4 linked regions of the Drosophila melanogaster genome follow. The protein of the gene in region 1 interacts with the protein of each later gene in a pairwise test. Each region holds a gene or a part of one and is shown in the gene's direction. Other genes may lie near its edges.

Region 1 (4,513 bases):
AGGGTTCAGTCCGCACTCACCACCCGCAAGGTCACCGGCTCCATGGCCGGCGTGGTCAAGGCCATGGATGCAGCTATGAAGGGTATGAACCTGGAGAAGATTTCCTCCCTGATGGAGAAGTTTGAATCGCAGTTCGAAGACCTGGACGTCCAGAGCTCGGTAATGGAGGGCACCATGTCCGACACGGTAACCACCTCGGTGCCTCAGGGAGATGTCGACAATCTGCTCCAGCAAGTGGCCGACGAGGCTGGCCTCGAACTCAACATGGAGCTGCCCAGCGGAGTTCAGAGCCAATCCGTTGGAGCCTCGACAGCAGTGTCCCAAGAGCAAGACGAGCTCACCCAGCGACTGGCACGTCTCCGCCAGGCTGAATAAAAATAGCGACGCCCTGCCCGTTGAATTTCTGTTTTAGCAATTAAGTACATTCAAAATATAAATAAGTATAAACTCAGTGATTGGAAGTCTATCGATGCTGCTTTGTCTACCATAATCAGAAGAATTGCCATGAATCTTTAAGTGTAAGTGTGCTGTTTGTATAGGCTTCAAACGGATTATGATTTACATGCTTTTCTAATGCAATATACGATAATCATGTTTTAAAGGCTTTGTTGTTATAGTTATTTGAAGACCTGCCAATTTTTGTAACTTGTTTACTTGGAAAGATATAGCATAATTTGGAAATAGAAATGGTTCTGCAGCAATCACAACTTTCATTGCTTTGGTTACTATAATTCATTTCTGGTCTTAGCTTTTATTTGTCTTAATATTATATTTAAAAGTATACAAGCCCTTTATCTTAAAACTAGAACACGCCAAGCAATCGCTATGACTCAGGTCAACAGTGGAGGTTGAGGTTGTTGATGCGGTGGTGCAATGACTGGATTGGGATTGATGGGTGCCTGTTTGGCTTTTTGCTTTCGGGGTTTCCGGGCAGCTGGAGTATTGGGTCCAGGCTCAGACCCGGGTGCTCCTGTTTCATCCGCCGCCTGCTTGTTTTTGGGCTTCGGTCCTCGACGCTTCTGCTCGGTTTTCCCTTTGGGATGTGGAGCCTCCATGGGAACGGATCGCCAGTCGTCTCCGTGCTTATCTAGTCGCCGTTTTAGAAGCTCCACGTCATGATTGCGCCTTCTTACTATCTTTTTGATCCCATTTACTCTGGATAAAAGGTACTGCACATTTTTGTTTACGTTTCGTGGAGCATAAAAATGACGGTTACCTCATCACACATCGCTCATTTTCCGCCTGAATCCTTTGGCACCTGTCATACAGTTTTTCCACCAGCTGTTTGTACATGAGTTCTTTCTTATTTAGCAACATTTTATACAGATATTGGTTATAGTTCAATATTTAGAAATGTTTTTATTTACGCCATGGCTCAGTGTGGCCAGATGGGCGATTTTCTTCTTGCTCCGTCTGTCGGTACAGGCGTTGCCACGTCATATTTATTCAAAAAAGGACTAGTTCACTTATTGAACTAAATTTAGCAAAAGTGCATAAAAACTGCTTGACATAATTGTCTTTAATTTAAGATTTAACTGGTCATAATAATTACTTTACATACTCGTTTTATGAAATGACAAAACCTGATGCATTTAAAATTATAAGTTAATGAAAATATAAACTATTTAAATTGGTTAATAATATAAATTTTATAATTTGCTATAACGGTTAAAGCTGTTACTTTTAGATGCAACTATTTAAATTGAATATCTAGTTCCTTAAAACTATTTACCCCTATTTGCACCAGCCTGGCAACTCTCTCATTTTGCAAACAGCCGTGTTAAGCAAACCCACAATTAGTAACTTATGTAGTTCCACAACAACAACCGGCATGCCAAACAAATCTTCCAGAGCAGACAGGAAGACAGCCAGAAGCAAATAGATATAGTGTTTGCGCCAACTATTATGTCTGCAGCCAACATGCCGACGACAACAGGAGCTCAGGGATCGGGAAACCAAGTTCCCACAACTAGCACTACGATTGTAAACCACTTCCGGGAGTTGATCAAGGAACCGAAGAACCTCGACGAGGCGGCCAACTATCTGTACCAGTCGCTGCTCGACGACGCCGTAGTCGGAATCTTTAACGAGACACATCATCTGCGAAAGTCAGGGAATCTGGCCGCCCTGGACGGAGTGCCGGAGGACTCAACCTATCGAATGTGCGAGATGCCCAACCTGGACATATTCGGCATCTCAACGGCCAAAAAGCCAATGGACTGCACCTGCCCCAACTGTGATCGCCTGGTGGCCGCCGCCCGCTTCGCCCCGCACCTGGAAAAGTGCATGGGCATGGGTCGTATCTCGTCGCGAATTGCCTCTCGTCGCTTGGCCACCAAAGAGGGCGCCACATCCGCCCACCTGCACTCTTCGGGAAATACCGGAGGCACTGATGATGAGGATGACGTGGACTGGTCGTCCGACAAGCGTCGAAAGAAATCAAACCAGAACTCAAGGAACAACGGCTCCAAGAAGAACAATGGCAAAACCTTTTAGTCAGAGCTAACAATCATTTTCGTAGTTTATTCTGCCATAAAAGTACACCTTTAAATCAGTCACCAATGTATTCTAAACTAATGGGATTTTGGTGATCGACCCCTACTCTTCTTTGAGATCATTTGAATAGGACAGCAGTTAGTGGCAATATCTAATCAATTAATATCTAGATATCATAGGACAAGGGTAATATAACTTTTCAGCAAATAGGCGCTTTTAAACATAGACTTTCCTGGTGCTAAATGAAGTAATTCAATGTAATAATATGAAAGCAAGCCTTAGTTTTATATTTTACAACTTAAAGAGTATATATTTTGGTTATTTTCCTTCCTTATCAATGGCAAACACCCGGATATGGTCGACCACTAGGGGTGTCCAGTCCGAATTTCTAGACAACTCCTCGAATTGTTTGTCAGTTTTGGGGTGGGTGTTTAAAAAGGGCTTGTGTTTCATTTCTAGAATGTCGTCATTGAAATTAACATTGCCGCCGGCGGTTAGGCCAAGGACTAGATGGCACTAAAAACGAAAGATCATAGAGATATTACATCTTTTAGAGGAAGGCGTCTTACCTCATGTTTTCGAAATGGTTCAAGAAGTGTCGGATTGTTTACTGCTCCGAAGAACTCGCCATCGAACTTAAAGATAATTTTGTCAGTCTGCCAGATAATAGTCGTGAAATCCGTCCCCATAGTAAATTTCCCCTGGCGTACAAGCGAATATGATCGAAAAAATCGTCATCCGCCTTATCCATACGGGGCACCAGAAGAATGTCTAAAGTAATCAAAACCATGTAGTGATTACCAGCTATAAAAACTAAATATCCACTCACTTGGAAACAACCAATCGCCTTTGGGCATTTTAGCTCTAATCTCAACTCGCCCATATTTAAAGGTAAAGTTCGTGTGCATGTTGGCGGATCTAAAGGTCTTGGAGACCCAAGGCTCCCGTTTCGATCTTGACCCCCTGTCACACTCTTTTCGTTTGGCTATTTGCTGGTGCAGCCCAGAAGAGTCATATTTCGCTCATCTCTGGTAATTGATATGTGCAAATTGTTGTTGGTTATAATCGAGTTGACAGGATCGTCCACAAAGGCAAAAAACTCCTGGTTTTTCCCGCCAGTATTACGATACCTAACCTCGCGTACCCAATTCAATGGGAACATTCTGATAACGTTTCTGAAGAACTCAGGTTAATCTAGGCCCATCAAATAATTCGCCAATTCCATTATCGTTGATTTTAATCTCGAAAAACTGAGTTGCAATCTTATTATTTCTCTCCACCACAGTTTGAATTCTTATTTTGGCATTGGGCTCAATGTTACTTTGTAACTCAATCTTTGCACCAATATGCTTCGTTATCGCACCCTTTGTCAACCAACTCGGCTTGAAAGTATATGGACTCAATCTCTTCCAGATCCCCGGGTAACACTATGAATACCTCCCTGCCCTTCACATTTACCACTGGATGCGGCCCCTCCAAGGCAATCATCAAAGAAACAAGACAACCTAACAAAATTAGAAAAACACAGCCTTTCCGCATGGCGGCTACCAGAGAATCCAGTCTTGCAATCATTGTGTTAACATGTGGGTTACTGCATTCCCTAGCATATAAGCTCTCAATCTTTAGCTGTTCTCTTGTAAAAATATGATAGATATGATCACATTGGTTTCCAATAATTAGGTCAGATATAGTATTTTATTCAATGAAATCATAGATTCACTTTTTTCATAGTTCACAGTTTCATTAGACCAAATATTTAATTAAGTGTTGTAGCTTAATGAGATCACGCGAGTCATATTCATTCCTCGTATTCATCGATTGAATAAACATTAAATTGTTGTATGACCAACACAGCTTGATCCCAAATGGGTGCATTGGTTACGGCCTTTATAATTTTCGATGATAGACCCGTTTCGAAATTGCGATAGCTCTTTTGCTCTGGCGGAATGCTGTTATCCGGAAAATTGTACTCTCCGCCGACAGTTAGGAACAATTCAATGTGGCGCTGAGGAGTTGG
Region 2 (4,926 bases), on another chromosome or scaffold:
TTGTGAACTGCAAATATCTTCAAAACGTTTGCAAATATCACAAAAAATTATGGCGCGCAACTAGGGGTGTGAAATCTTTCGATTGATTAGCTCGTTATTCGCTATTTTCGCCCATGTTCAATTCCCAAAAATATCGTTAGTCGGCAAATAAAACGAATCTCACAATTTAACTAATTATTTATTATAATAGATGGAGTAGTTTACAAAACGAAACTAACTTAAATTGTATATCACTGGCTGCAGGGGCTATGTTGGTTAACAATGGCATTGTTGGGCATCGAATTTGATTTTTTAATTTTAATGGTTCTTTTTGGATTTACAAGCTTCTAACCTAAATTAAACAAGCGCATGTTGTATCGTTTTAACTATTAATAAAATCAAATGAATAAAAAATCTTTTTGCGCTATAAAAATGTATCTGACTATCGGATTCACCGATAACAAATCGATTAAGCACTGTCGTTTTTCCAACTGTTTTATGATCTGGTAACACTTTCCGTCGCTGCGTTTTATGCTAAAAGTAAACACATTAACTTGATAAACAATGAACCTCGCCGACGTTTGCCGTATTTGCGCCAACAAAATTATGGGCCACCAGCGAGATCGCAACATATTCATTCACATGCGGGGAAAATATTTGGGTCAACTGAAGCTAATCACGGGAGTGGAGGTAGGTCGTTATGTCAGCTTCCGACCGCGCCAACAATTGTTATTACCTGGAATTTGTTCAGCTGACAAGAAACCAGGGGCTGCCGGAGATTGTTTGCGAGCGCTGCTTCTCCGAGCTGGACCTGGCCACCAAGTTCCGCGAGCGGTGCATCTTCTCGCAAAAGTACCTGCTGGATATCATAAAGAAGACCAGTGATCAAAGCACTGTTCACGTTGAGCTTAGTTCCGAGCCGCTGGACGAGCAACTGATCGATGCGGATCAATTGGAGACGCACTACGATGACGACCAGTACGTTTGTTATCAAGGCACGAAAGAGGAACACCAAGACCTAGAGGAAATCGAGCTGGATGACGACCCCTCTGCCGCTGTGATAGCGGCAGCAGAGGCGGCAGCAGAAGCGGCGCAGCAGGAGGATCTACAGGAGCAGGAAATGGAGCGGGCCGCCAAGAGGCGCAGTAACTTCTTTATCTGCGACGAGTGTGGAACCCTGTTCCACGATGCGTTCCTGTACACCGAGCATTTAAATGGGCACCAGAACCGGCGGGATATGAACCAGTTCTTCCCCTGCCCTGAGTGCCCACAGACTTTTAACAAGAAGGCGCTTCTCAAGCAGCATCGCACCCAGGTTCATTTAATTAACCGCAGGTTCCAGTGCACCATCTGCCACGAGGCTTTCGCGTCTCTGGGCGCTAAGTTGCGGCACGACAAGTAAGGAGGCTGGGAATTGAATGCTAGCGCAGCACTATATGCAACTTCCAATTTCATTTTAGAGCCCATAAGAACGAACGACCTTATCCATGCCTAGAATGCGGAATGATCTTCAGCAGCGTTTCCGAATTGCAGAACCACTTTTCGACACACTCAAAGCAAATCCGAAAGTTCAGGTAAGCTTGTCAGCTTGCGCAGTCATATGTCTTAATATCGTATTTTTTGCGTTTAGGTGTGAGCCTTGCAACATGGATTTTATAACTCGCCGAGGCTTGGTGGCCCATACAAAAACAGCACCGCATAAGCGCCTTGCCAAATATATGCAGGATGAATTCGATTTCATCGAATTGGCAACCTAACCCTCAATTATTACCACCTTCTTTCTAAGTAAATGCTAAGGTCAAAAAAATAAATCATAATTGAGTAGTTCAGTTTACTACTTCGCTACCATAATATTCGACAATGGAGTATCGGTTCAATGTTATTTTTTTATAAGTGTATTTTTAATTTATTGAAAATAAAATTCCTTCAGTTTTACTTTCAAGTCATTTTTTATAGTTCATACTTTTAAATTAAGGAGGGAATGGAAATTTATAGCGTATTACCGTGTAACATAAACCTCTAGTCATACAATTCAAGAAAATAAAGTTTTCTTAGCGACTAAGTTTTCTTATTTTCTTCCAGCATTTTATACTAATAAAGCTTAAAGAGGCCTGAAAACCTCAGCTCCAGCAGTTTGGCGCTAATCTAATTCTCGGCCCCCCACAGGACTGCTTCAACATAAAAGAGCTTTCGAGTACGGCGCATGCGTCCTTTCAGCTGTGGCTGCCATAAGGCAGCTTCGATTGGATCTGCGTATATTTCGCAAATTCAACTGGTAGCCGCCGCACGAAGCACAGAGCCCTACGTCACGTTAGTATATACACGGAATCGGAGCAGCTGCCGCCGAAAAATCAATACCTTACCAAACTTCGACGTGGACGGTTGAAACCGCTTGGAATCGCAATATGTTGTTCCGTTCGCAAAGTAAGTCTGCTGAAGTAATATTTATAGGTGGGTGAGGTAAGAGAATAGCCCATGTTTTTCCAGGTGTGTACATGATGGTGGCGATGCTCGTGGTCGCCTTGAGTGGCTACCAGGTGCAGTCCTATAGCGCCAAGGATATTCTTGCCGATGTCTTGATGACGGATCTGCTGAATCGCATGGACAAAGACATGCAGGTGGGCTATTACGACGTGGGCAACGAGGCAGCCGCTGGCTCCAAGGACAACGTGGACCTGGTCTCCCGGTCGGAGTACGCGAGGCTGTGTGACGGCGGAAGCGACTGCATCCTGCAATCGGGCTCGGCATCGGGAGCTGCCTCCCATCCTTCGCTGCGGGATGACGAGTTTCTGCAGCACAGTTCGCTGTGGGGTCACCAGTTCATCTCCGGCGGAATGGGAGAGGGTCCCAACAGGTATCCCACTATAGTGAAGAACGACGCCGGCCTGCCTGCCTACTGCAACCCTCCTAATCCCTGCCCTGAGGGCTACGACATGGAGACGCAAGGCGGCAGCTGCATTGTCGACTTCGAAAACACGGCCATCTTCAGCCGGGAGTTCCAGGCCGCTCAGGACTGTACCTGCGACAACGAGCATATGTTCGACTGCTCGGAACAGGATAGTGCTGATGTGGGCGGCGACAAGGGTGACCTGAACTCCGCCGTGGAGCAGTACATCATGCAGATGGGCCAGGAGAACAGCCTGAACAACGTTAACAGCCTGGCTAAGAAGGCCGGATATCCTGTGATGCCCGATCCTCGGCTGGACGACGCGGTCATAAACCCGTTCCTCCAGGGCGACCGCTTGCCCATAGCCGCCAAGAAGGGCAACCTTTTATTCCACTAAGGTAACTCGCTGATAACGCGAGCATACACGACGTTTCCATATGGGTGTCTAATACTATTATCTATCATAGCTGGTTATCAATGTTGTCCCGCAAGCGATGTCTAGTAATGTTTCTACCCTTTCCCGAAAATAAAGTTATTCGTATAGTACCAGGGCTCTAAGCCGAAAATATGCGGGTATTGGTCTAAACTTGGGGTAGGGTCTCCACTACCGAAGGTGGGTTCGGATGTAGCTTATCCTTGGGATGACCCAAGTTTGATGAGAGTGAGAAATATCGAATATCTGTTTGATGCTTCTATTTATTGTTTTAAAAAGTTTTACAATCCATCAAATCATCAATGATTATTCATTTAAAAAGAACTATCCTCGATATGTCGTCGAGTGTACAAATAGGCCACTGCGGTTCAGCTCCACGTTGAGTATTTTGTGTCAGCATGCACTGGCCGCGTGTTTCGGATGATCCACGCGGGTATTGACTTAAAGATAACCTAACAAATGATAGTATAGTACATCGCATGAATGTTGCTGCCACAGTGGGCGATCAGCCACCCAATTATTGGCACACATCGACACTGGCAGTGTGATTAGCTAAGCATAATGTTCGTTCTGTTGCCATGAAGCCTTATGAACGACCTGATCCTTCTGAGCCAGAGTGTCCTGGCTCTCACTCGCGTCCCTATACATACTATACAACACAATCCTTCCTTCTGACTACAATTCTAGGTATTGGCTTAGTCTTAAGTTTAGGCAGTTGATGGAAAGAGGCGGAATTCGTTAACAAGTTACCTAGGTCTAACTTAGCTCTACGTCTAGGATGGGCGGGTCCTTCACAGGCGACCTGTGCCATTACCGCCGCCGCCGTTGGTGTTCTGGCCCCAGGAGACCTGGTGGTGCGGGTGGGGATGGGGATTCCTGGTGGTCAGCCGCAGGGAGTTGCCGTCGCCGTCCTCGTCGATCACATGCTCGTAACCCTGGTTGATAGTGCCGCCCCCATTCGAGCCGTAAATCTGCTGCAAGTGTAAGCGGACGTAACAAAATATTTCCATGAGAATACACATATTTTATGATTATAAATTGGCCTTTACCTCGGCACCACCACCGTTCACATTGAATACATCCTTGATGCTGATGCCTGCATTCGAGACACGTCCGCTTCGCTGATTCGGCAGAGCTCCATTGTTGTTAATCTACATATATGCATTAAAGAAGTTATGATCCTGTATCTAAAATTTCTCCAAAAACTTTTCTAATCTCACCGGTGCTCCAGTTGTGATTCCGTACTCGTTCTTTGCTCCCAGAGTTTGCATCGCGGACTTCCGCCTTTCGGCCATCACCGAATTCTTACGCACCTCCAGTGCCCGGATGGTCTCCGCCCGCATTGTCAGGCGGCGGGTGAGAATGGGCGTGGCCGGATTGTTCTCCGCATCGGCGGTGAGTTTCAGGAAGCGCTTCTTGAACGCCACATCCAGGGTGCCGATCTGGCGACGTGGCTGTCGCGCCTTCTCCAGATTTTGAATGGTCTTCCGCCTGGCTATGCGATCTGGCCCGGAACCGGAGTCATTGTCGTAGTCGCCATCGATTCCCTGCAGCCTCTGCAAGTTCTTGACGATCTCCACAGCATGCTAAATAATATCATAATTTTATTATTTGTATTAATGTCAAT
Region 3 (4,131 bases), about 10 Mb from region 1:
CGGTTGTGTTTATAATTTTATTGTAATTTTATCTCAATTTTTTTTGCTTTTGTATATAAATTCTACCAACGCAGCAGAATTTTCAGGCCACTGCCTTGACTTCACTGTGTCACTGAAAAATCGGTGTCAAGCTCTCGGCACCGTGGGGCAAAGCAACTGCAATACTGATCGAAACTATGCGGATCCGGAGCACGAAGAGTCATGCGGTCGGAATCTTACGTAATGGGTCTCGTCTCTGGTAGACGATGGCGTAAGCACAGACGCCTGCTATCTGGACCGGCCCGAATTGAGAGCCAGCATTTTGGCCAGTGCGGATTCGGCCTGGCTGCACGTCTCCGGCGGCGTCTCAAGATTGCTGGACAAAGAGGCGAGGCCTGGAACTGCGTCTGCGGGAACCCGGAGAGCCGAAACTTGCATCATATTCGTCACGTAAGAGTTGGGCCTCTGCCTGGATCTGGTATAAAAACAAAACATTGCGCCAGAATAAGACATTAGTTACCTTCGCATCGATCAACTAACCAACTCAGCCTCAGAATGATGAAGTTCATGGTAAGCCTTAAGTTCCAATATTGTTTCTATTGACACCTCAACTGAGTCCAGTATGATCCTTTCAATAAAATATAACTACATATTATAATAATTGGATAATATGATTGGATCTTTCTTTTCTAATACACTTCAGTCTAAACCCAAATTAATTGAATTTTTTCTTGAATCCCTTAGTGCATCTGCCTCTGCGCCATCTCTGCCGTTTCGGCCAACTCCTACGGACGTTCCCGTGGTGGATACGGTGGTGCCCCAGTCGGTGGCTATGCCTACCAGGTGCAGCCTGCCCTGACCGTTAAGGCGATCGTTCCCTCATACGGTGGTGGATACGGCGGAAACCATGGAGGATATGGCGGTGCCTACGAGTCGGTGCCTGTGCCCGTGTCCTCTGCCTACAGCGGTGCCAATGTGGGATCTCAGTACTCCGGTTCCGGCTACGGCGGTGCCCCACCAGTTGATGCCCAGGCCATTGCCCTCGCCAAGCTCGCCCTGGCCGCTCCCAGCGCTGGAGCTCCTCTGGTCTGGAAGGAGGCTCCCCGCTACGCCCAGCCCGTCTATCCCCCCACCAGCTACGTGAACCAGGAGTACGGACACAGCGAGAAGGTGAAGGGAGGCTCCGCAGCCGCTGCTGCCAGCTCCGTGGCCGCCGGAAAGAAGGGCTACAAGAGGCCCAGCTACTAAGTGGCAAAACGTTGAACAGTGAACCAAAAACTTACCTGCCCATAAGGAACTAGGTCATAATAATAAAAGCCAAAACATCAAGACTTAAAATTTTGAGTACTGTATTCTTGCTGGGTTTTTAGTTTCGGGCCGAGAATTGAGATCTGCATATCTTAGCTGAATTGGCATAGACTTGCGGTTCATTGCAATGCCAAGCGATACTTTGAGCCAGCAAAAATTTCGTGGTTTCGTAGTTAAATGAAAATGCTGCTTAAAGTGCTAAAGAATAATTCTCATGGCGAATGAAGCTGAAAAGCTAAAACTAAATTCATTTGTGGGGCCACTTTAAAACTATAGTTCGTCAAATAAGCCTTGACTTTTTTAAGTTACCATAAGTAAAGAACCTATTAGATAAAATGAGATTAGATAGAATATAGTTTTGCTTGAAATTATGTTTTTGTAAAATTTCAAAATGATTGAAATACTTTAAAATGTTTTAGTTATAATTTTAAGTTTTGTATGTGACTAGTGGTCACTTTAAAGGGATGATTCTATATAGGTTTTATCAGAAAAACCGGCTGGAACCAGTTCTAGAAGAATCCTCACTTAGACAAGCCAAGTTCCGGACACAACCGACCTGGAAACCATTACCCCCGAGAATGTGGATAATATAAAGTTCAATTCAACAAATTTTGGACTGTATTCGAAAATAAACGCGTTCGTGGTTCCCATTTGGAAGAGTCGCGTGTTCGTAGTGCTATCACTACCCAACACCCGGTAGAATAGCACATCGCGTAACCAAGCGATTTTATAATGGCTTGACAACAAGTACATAAATCAAATGTGAGTATATTCCAGCCGGGCAATTATGAAATGCCATTTCTGGGCTGAAACAGAACAATTAGTGTATATAGGTCACGTAAATGTCCAGGCTAAAATTTGCGTATAAAAGCGAGCGTTTCTGGTCGGTAAATCATAGTTTGATTGATTACCCCAAACCAACAAAACTAAGCACTCACCATGAAGTACCTGGTAAGTTGTGGTAGTCCCCGTGAAGGAGTGGCAGCCAACTGATCCTCCGGATTTCCCCTTTTCACCTTCAGATTGTCTGCGTTACCCTGGCCCTTTTCGCCTACATCAACGCCAGCCCAGCGTACGGCAACCGTGGAGGTTATGGTGGTGGCTACGGTGGTGGCTACGGTCCTGTTCAGCGCGTCGTCTACGAGGAGGTGCCCGCCTACGGACCATCCCGTGGCTACAACAGCTATCCCCGCAGCCTGCGATCGGAGGGTAATGGAGGAAGTGCCGCTGCCGCTGCCGCCGCTTCCGCCGCTGCCGTGAATCCCGGAACCTACAAGCAGTACGCCATTCCCTCCTACGAGTTGGATGGCGCTCGCGGCTACGAGATCGGACACGGCTACGGCCAACGTGCTTACTAATTCTCGCTTCATCGGCAGTGAATTGAACTATCGACTCCTTGCTAAAATCCTCGAGTGGCTGTCATGGCGAAACTCTGAGAATCAGTGAATAAAAGCAGCTTGAACGCAATGGAAAATACCGAAAAGAAATACGTATTGTGTGTTTTGCATTGTGACATACTTTTCAGCGCATTCGGGTTAAGATTTAGCGGTGGGTCATTATTATTATTCCACACACAAGATGGGTTTCAAAGTGGGGCAGCTAGAATATTCACTGCGGCAGATTGTACAATACTATATAGAAGTACTATTGCACTTTAAGCTACAAAGTCGACAGGTTAAGCTTCAGTGACTCAAGAATTTAGTCACCTATGAAACCCTTAGTTTCACTAATAGATTCTTAGACGAACATCTTAAATTGTATAATCAAACAAAGGGCTATATATATTACAATAACATATTTGCCAATGTGCATAAAGGCATAGACTCTGAAGTTATGTTTTATCGTTAAAATTTGGTTTGTTCTGTTTACTTGAAGGTATAGATAATATTATAAAATCCATATCCAATAACCATTGGTCAGTCGTTGGCCCGTTATCCCATTAACCCGCTTGCGTTCCCGCACGCACCCAAATGCAACCATTGATTTTGGGCCTCAGTTGGGAGCATCTGCATCTGCCACCCCCAACGAAGGTCAACCGGCGAATGGAGGCGATACGATACGCTGCGGTGAGCAACCTGCTCGAGCCGAAACGAGCTCAACGTGGAGCCCCGATATCTGGCTAGGAAAAGCTAGAAATCCACAGAAAGTTCCCCAACAAACTGGCCGAGAAGAGACGACGAAGCCAGCTCTTGAGCCGTGATAAATTTCTGGGCGAGATCACGTTTCGAGTGCAACAATAAATTTGCTTATATAAAGAAGTGTGCTTGGCCATTTAATATGTTAATTCAGCCAACTGTGCCAAAACCCATACATCATAGCCATGAACAAGTTCGCTGTAAGTGTCCCTGAGAACCGCTTCCGTATTCCCTGCCGCTCTTTCATTTTCCGGACTTATGCTAACTGAAAGTTTTCCTGATTTTCCAGACTCTGGCAGTCATCTTCTGCGCCTGCATCGTGGGCAGCTGCTACGCCAACTACGGTGGCCAGCAGAGCTACGGACAGCGATCTTACGGTCAGGATAGCTCCGCCGCCTCCGCCGCCAGCTCAGCAGCTGCTGCTGGAGCCGAGGGTCAGCAGCGTTATGAGCGCCCCGTGGAGATCATCGCCGGCGGTTACCGCGGCAGCTATGCCCCCGAGATCCTGCGTCCCATCCAGGTCAGCGGTGGATATGGCGGTGAGCGACGTGGCTACAACGGTGGCAACTACCGTCGTGCCGGCTACGGACCCCGTTGGACTGTCCAGCCCGCCGGTGCCACCCTCCTGTACCCCGGCCAGAACAACTACAAGGCTTACGTCTCGCCCCCGGAGTACAGCAAGGTGATCCTGCCCATCCGCCCTGCTGCT
Region 4 (6,127 bases), 9.2 Mb from region 1:
CTGGTTGAATCTACTGTCGAGAGCTGCCCTATCGTCGCTGGTCAGCTTTCTGGTTCTCTTTATCATCAACTTGTTAATCATTTACATGATCATGTTCAAGAATCCGGACATCGCCGACAAGCTGGTGGAGTATATACCACACCAGTATCGCGATTGGATCCTGACCAAAACGGAGATCTTTCGGCTGCGTGTTACCGACTGGATCTCGGAATTCCGAACACCACCGGAGGAACACTGACGGTTCATTTATTTGAAGCCTTAGAGCGCTGGGCTTCAAATGGAATAAATCGCTAAAAAAAAATCTCGGATGCATTGCGCGTGTGTGGAGGCAAAATTCAAAATGAGATACGTGTTGACCACCTGAACGAGTTATACGACTGCTACTTTGATATACCATTATCTGTAATTTACTGCCATTTATTTTGATAGACACTAAGCCCACTACGTCCATTGAAGGGAGATTTTAAAATAAAAAAAAAACACACGTACTCCGCAACTTAAGAGGCCACTTTAAAGACACCGAACTACACTCAATCACTCAGCTCAATCGAACTCAGATGAATCTACAGCTAACCTAACCATAGCTCAAGCTCAACTCCATAGTAACTGAATGGCAGTTCCAAACTAGCCAAAGCATAGAAACTACAGACACAGTCAGACCAGACATCCTCGTATTATTCACATCTATCAGGTCAAATCAGATATAATCGAATCGATTCGAATCAACTCACCTACAAATAAAGTACTATAACCGTGTGCAATTCCCATCTTATTTCTAATTCTTGCTCAAATTGTATTCATGTTAGCCCGACCATTTTACATTTGTAGATTTTAAATCGCATAGGTTTTATTGCAAAGGAAATGTATACCATCATGAGTGGAATTTGCAGATAATCAAAATGAAATTCAAGCGGTTTCATATGATTTATGCGAAATCGAAATAATTGAAGCGTAACAAAATATTTGCAAGATTCTTTGAATAAAAACGTACATTTTAACAAATTTGTTGAAGTTTTCTTATTCTTATTTAATACTTGAACTAATTTTATTCTGTGACTTAACAGTTTGCGCCCAAAATCTAACAATTCAAATTAATTTTATGTCCCAGGAAATTGTTAATAAAAATAATTTCAATTGAGATTGTGGGAAATTTATGCTTATCTATTCACTTGGTCACCATGCTATCTATAATAATATTTATAGCCCCATTCGGCACGCGAGTTTATGTTAAATATAAGTATTAAACGCCCCGCTATCTATTTATATTTATTATTTTCCTTTTTTGGATTTGTGACCATTTATTCTGATTATAATAAATTATTATTCTTTCAAGAAAAATGAATGTTTGTTGATAATAAAGATTATTTAAAAGTAGTGGCAATGATTTTAAGTAATACTATATTGAAGTTCAATTCCTAGCATCATACTAACTAACATATCTTTCATCATGCAAACATCAGCAACACAATATAAGATCTTAATCCTACCAACCCATCCTGACATCATTTGTATCTTCTTTATTTGGCTCTCCTCAACGTAATTGGTTCATTCGCATATCGCAAATAAATTGATAAGTGATAAATGACTAGCAAAAACATACCGGTTCCGTGTTAAAGTGAATTTCATCAGTAGAAAGTTGTAGAACTTTGGACGTATTTACCTGCTGTTGAGCGGGTGGAAATTATTATTGAACAACGTGAGAGAGAGCAAAAAGTTGGATAAATACGTAAATATTGTGGTTATCTTGTTCGATTCCCAGAACTTAAACAACACCGAAACCTAATTGCTGATGCAATGCTGTTTATCAATTTCGTGCAAGGATCTTACCGCTTCTACCCGCAGCTCCAACTTTAAAGTTTCGCATTTCCGGCAAGTCTAAAAAGTATATAGAGTTTGCCACGCTTATGAAAGCCGGTCTTAGATTTCGTCATCCAAAAAGTGGAGAAGGCCCTTGCCCTTTAGGATTTGCGGAATATACATATCTCGCTTGCTCTTCTCAAATTCAGCGCATCGTGTCGCTGTCCTTGTCGTCCTTTCAGCCGTATTTATTTTTTTCTCTTACCCGGCTTTTCTCTTTCTCTGCATTTACAAGCTGTTTGTTTTAGCGGGAAAAAAGCCAGATCGGATTTTAAAATTTCATAAATCAAGCTGTAAAATCAGATACGTACTTGCCTTACCTAATTTTTTTGTGTTTACTAAGAATAATTCATTAAGAAGTAAAAATATTCTAATAATCGTAGCCATTTTGACAAAAATTCCTTAAGTGGCATTTTGTTGTCTTTTTACTTAAGGTAGTTAAAAAAATATTTATAAATATTTATAATAAAAATCATAATTTTCCTAAAGGCATAATCTATACCTATAATTTATTACGTATTCTAAAATATAATATTTTTACATCTTGCCTTATAAAATAAAGTAAAATAAATGTCGGCAGCACTGTTGCGCTCTCTCAGTATTTATATTTAAGCAGGGACTGTGTTTCTCATTTTAGTTGCTGTTTGGTGTTCGCGCAGTCCGCACGGCTTTTTGTGTCGCGGGAGATATCTCCGATTTTTTAACTGCCCAAACTGTTGGCATTATTACAACTTTTATTCGCCTAAAAGGCGATTGACCGGGAGGAGTGTTTGATTTGCGCGGCATTCACCAATTCGTCAGCACTTCAGAGAAAGAAGGAGCAATTAAGTAAGCATAAATTCTGAACTACTGTACAGTCGCCGGATTTAAGACAAGGGAAGCGAAAAGAGGGCAACACTTGAAGCACATGGCAGAAACACAGAATAAATTGGGTTTGTCTGAAAATAGCATAGTGCAACTGCTGCTATAACAGACATGTGTTATGTATTCAAAAAAACATTCGAAATAGAAGTATAGAATTATAGAATGATGTGCCATGTTGTAGATGAGAACCACGAAAGCAGACGAAAAACAAAAAGCAGGAGAAAAAAACGGCTTTAGCGAACCATAAATAGCCGAAGTGACAATTAAAACCGAAACCTTTTCATAAAAACCGAAAAATTCGACAGTCAAAAAAAAAAAAACGGGACACGCGTGCATTTTCGACGTCAACGTAAAACGAACACGTTGCACCTGTCCCGTTATTTGCATTACGGCTTTCTACATTTTTTTGGCTGATATGTGGATATTTGTGGATATATTTGGATGATTTGTTTTCGGGCATTTTATAAAGAATACGTTTTTCCTGAGTCATGAATGGAATATAAACATTTCCTCGGTTGCCCGCGCTTTCCATTGCAGTTTGATGTTAGTGCTTTTATACATGTGCTATAGTTCAATGGCTGCGAATAGGTTTCTCCCCAATTTGACTTGCTGATGCTCCACGTTTCTTGCTAAATTTCAATACGTAATTTACCTGTAATTGAGCACTTAGCCAAGGGAAAGTTCGCCCGATGCCAGCGAAACAAATATAATAAAAAACAAAACGAAATTAACTGTTAGCAGAGCACGCATAAAAGAAAAAATAAAATGGATTACTATCATAGCTGTCTGCACACACACGTCAATGCAACTGCCCCACCCACACTGAACTGCTGCACCCACGCCCACACACTTTTAGACCGATTCGAACTGAGTCATCAAGGACATGGCCGAAAGGAGCTCGGGCCAAAATGGGATGGGTGCACTGAGAGAAATGTGCATCCAAAATCTACCTTGTGCTTGAAATCGCTCTGTTGCTTTTAAATCTATTGATGAAGTAAACTAACTTCTATACACTTTGAATTCGTTAATCTTAGATCTATCTATCTATCTTTGGCATTGAACGTTTAATACTATTTATGACAATTATTATTTCGCACTGTATGTGTATCTCATCACTTTTGCCGACTGAGGTGCGCCTGTTTTTGGCCATATCTTTACGATGTAACCATTTCCTCGCTTTACGCGCTCGTTTTCTGTTTGTGTTATTGATTTTGTTGCTATTGTCGCTGTTGGTAATTAGCATAACAGAAATTTACAAGCTAAAGTCAAAGACGCAGTAAAACTGTGACGTCAGAGGCTGGGAGTCCAAGGGAGAGGCAAGTGTCAAACAAAGTGAAAAAGAGAAAGGTGCTAGGCAGAAAGAGAGGGGCGCACGTGGGTGCAACATGTTGATTGCGTGGGCGGCCTTCGGGCCATTTGGCATATTCCAAGAATAAATCTGATTTACATATCTTACGATTTTGGGATTATGAATATTAAGTACGGATTTTAAGCCAACGATTTTAAAGTGGAATTGAAATTGTATCATAGAAACGGGCATTCAGATATAGTAGGTTTATACCTTATATATTTATTCAAAATATATATATATATTATATATTATATTATTATTCAAAAACCTATCTTTATTTCTTTTTACTGTTCTGGCTGTCAATCGGCTTCGCTAATTTGCACACATGTGCCACTTGCGCAATTTTCCACCAGAAGCAGACATTACACTTGACCGCCTTCCTTCCCTTCATTTGCCACAACTGACCCGACAGAAACTAATTATTTTTAGACGCAACTAATTTCCGTAACACCTGAGTTCGTTTCTGTTATCATGTTGCCATTTTTGCCTTCTTAAATCGATTGGACCATTGAACGGCAGCTCAATAAACACTGTTCCACATAAAGTGTCGAAGAAAACAATTACCAAAAATACAGTCCAATAAAACGAAGTTCATATTCGTATCGTCGCACATTATCTAAAACGATAATGTGACCTTTGTGGCGGCTTGCTTGGGTTTTTTTTTATCAGGATTGACATTATGCAACAACCGCATGCAAACTCTCCAATTGCGGGTAATTATTTTAAACACCTTGAACAACAGGGAAAATTGCATTTATCTCTGTAGATAGGACAAAACAACAGATAGTTACTACCATTTCATTTTTTTTTTTTTTTTTTTTTTTTGACGCGTGTCTCAATTTTGATAAGGAGACTTTTTAGAAACCTATTGGGAGCTGTATTTAATCAGCAGTTTCCCCCGTTCATATGCACATGGAGGCTATAACCTTTTTCTAATGACGTAAATGTCAAACAGATCTGAAATCTTTGACGTTCGAAAACAGCTGCTTAAATATTTTTAGAGATTTCAAAATTGATGAAGAGAATTTACCAAACAAAAATTACATAAAAAGAATTGTTGAGTTTTTGAAACAATTTCGAAATATGTCACTCCACTTCACTTACATTTCCGGTAGTTATATCAGCTTTTTCGCTTTTTCCATGAATCATGTTCCACTATCAACAAAAATTCTTTAAAAACCGCAGAATGTGAGACAATTGCTGAACTCGCAACATGATTCCCCCAAAGTGAACACCTATGTATAAGAAGGGGAAACCAAACACCGTTTCGATGATAACTCACTAGATAAGGAGTGTCAACATAACGATTCCAAAACAAACAAAAAGCAAATGCAATCCATTCGCACAAAACAGAAACGTTCGGCTGATGAAATGCTAAAAAAGCTTTGCAGCATGAAGCGCTGGGATAAATATAAACCGATTCTTCTAAGAATAAAAGTATTGTATGATGCTTACTCAGAATATTCCAAGGAATGTCGGAATAATCTCATATTGGGTTATGACCAGACCAGAACTCACAACATTTAAGGGCTATAACCATATAATTTTGAGCAATTGTAAGTGTAAAATCCCAAATAAGAAGACTTTACTCGTTGAGTTTTTGTAAGAAACTGATTTTATTTGGAAATATCTTCGGTTTAAATAGGTGACATGAGAATCGCATCTTAAAGTAAATGGCCTACGCAGAGGCCTAAGTAAATAGTCCCCGCCTTATCGAGGTCCCACGCTCGGGCACATCTGCCTATCTTGAGCGGCGAGGACCTTATCTGTGGTCTCCCACTAAGGGACTATTTTAGGAGGCGGGGAACGATCTCAAGTGACTGACTCATGTAGTGTGCACTTAAATTACATGTTTTTGAGCAATGCACCCATGTCGCCTTAGATAACAAAATCCTAAATATAATTTATCGCTCTCGATTCATTTACATAAGATATGAACGGAGCCCAAAATTGTAAGTCTTTAAATATATTCGTGTTCATGTGTGAACAGTAAGGTTAATTTGAAGTTCATACGTCTGGTACGAGTATCTTAAAAAATTATAAATATAAATGCAC

The links.
Region 2: the proteins of Sgf11 (region 1) and 7B2 interact in a two-hybrid assay, tested with the Drosophila melanogaster proteins (one large-scale study listed by BioGRID).
Region 3: the proteins of Sgf11 (region 1) and Cp15 interact in a two-hybrid assay, tested with the Drosophila melanogaster proteins (one large-scale study listed by BioGRID).
Region 4: the proteins of Sgf11 (region 1) and path interact in a two-hybrid assay, tested with the Drosophila melanogaster proteins (one large-scale study listed by BioGRID).

Annotation. Positions count from the first base shown.
Region 1 is NT_037436.4:18,679,081-18,683,593, reverse strand, and holds Sgf11 (SAGA associated factor 11kDa), read left to right. Parts: upstream 1-1,757; 5' UTR 1,758-1,905; coding exon 1,906-2,496; 3' UTR 2,497-2,557; downstream 2,558-4,513. Other genes in the region: Chmp1 (charged multivesicular body protein 1), read left to right, coding at 1-375; CG32202 (uncharacterized protein), read right to left, coding at 831-1,155, 1,217-1,317.
Region 2 is NT_033777.3:5,374,548-5,379,473, forward strand, and holds 7B2 (7B2), read left to right. Parts: upstream 1-2,232; 5' UTR 2,233-2,384; coding exon 2,385-2,403; intron 2,404-2,451; coding exon 2,452-3,263; 3' UTR 3,264-3,428; downstream 3,429-4,926. Other genes in the region: CG14667 (uncharacterized protein), read left to right, coding at 544-669, 731-1,377, 1,440-1,553, 1,610-1,736; kkv (krotzkopf verkehrt), read right to left, coding at 4,091-4,273, 4,349-4,450, 4,520-4,885. UniProt on the Drosophila melanogaster protein: Acts as a molecular chaperone for neuroendocrine convertase amon/PC2, preventing its premature activation in the regulated secretory pathway.
Region 3 is NT_037436.4:8,726,301-8,730,431, forward strand, and holds Cp15 (chorion protein 15), read left to right. Parts: upstream 1-2,180; 5' UTR 2,181-2,226; coding exon 2,227-2,238; intron 2,239-2,309; coding exon 2,310-2,645; 3' UTR 2,646-2,766; downstream 2,767-4,131. Other genes in the region: Cp18 (chorion protein 18), read left to right, coding at 535-549, 724-1,227; Cp19 (chorion protein 19), read left to right, coding at 3,608-3,622, 3,712-4,131. UniProt on the Drosophila melanogaster protein: Chorion membrane (egg shell) protein; plays a role in protecting the egg from the environment.
Region 4 is NT_037436.4:9,501,690-9,507,816, reverse strand, and holds the start of path (pathetic), read left to right. Parts: upstream 1-2,488; 5' UTR 2,489-2,685; intron 2,686-6,127. Other genes in the region: CG3408 (uncharacterized protein), read left to right, coding at 1-238. UniProt on the Drosophila melanogaster protein: Amino acid transporter which has pH-dependent electrogenic transport activity for alanine and glycine but not for proline. Plays a role in positive regulation of growth by directly or indirectly modulating the effects of the TOR signaling pathway.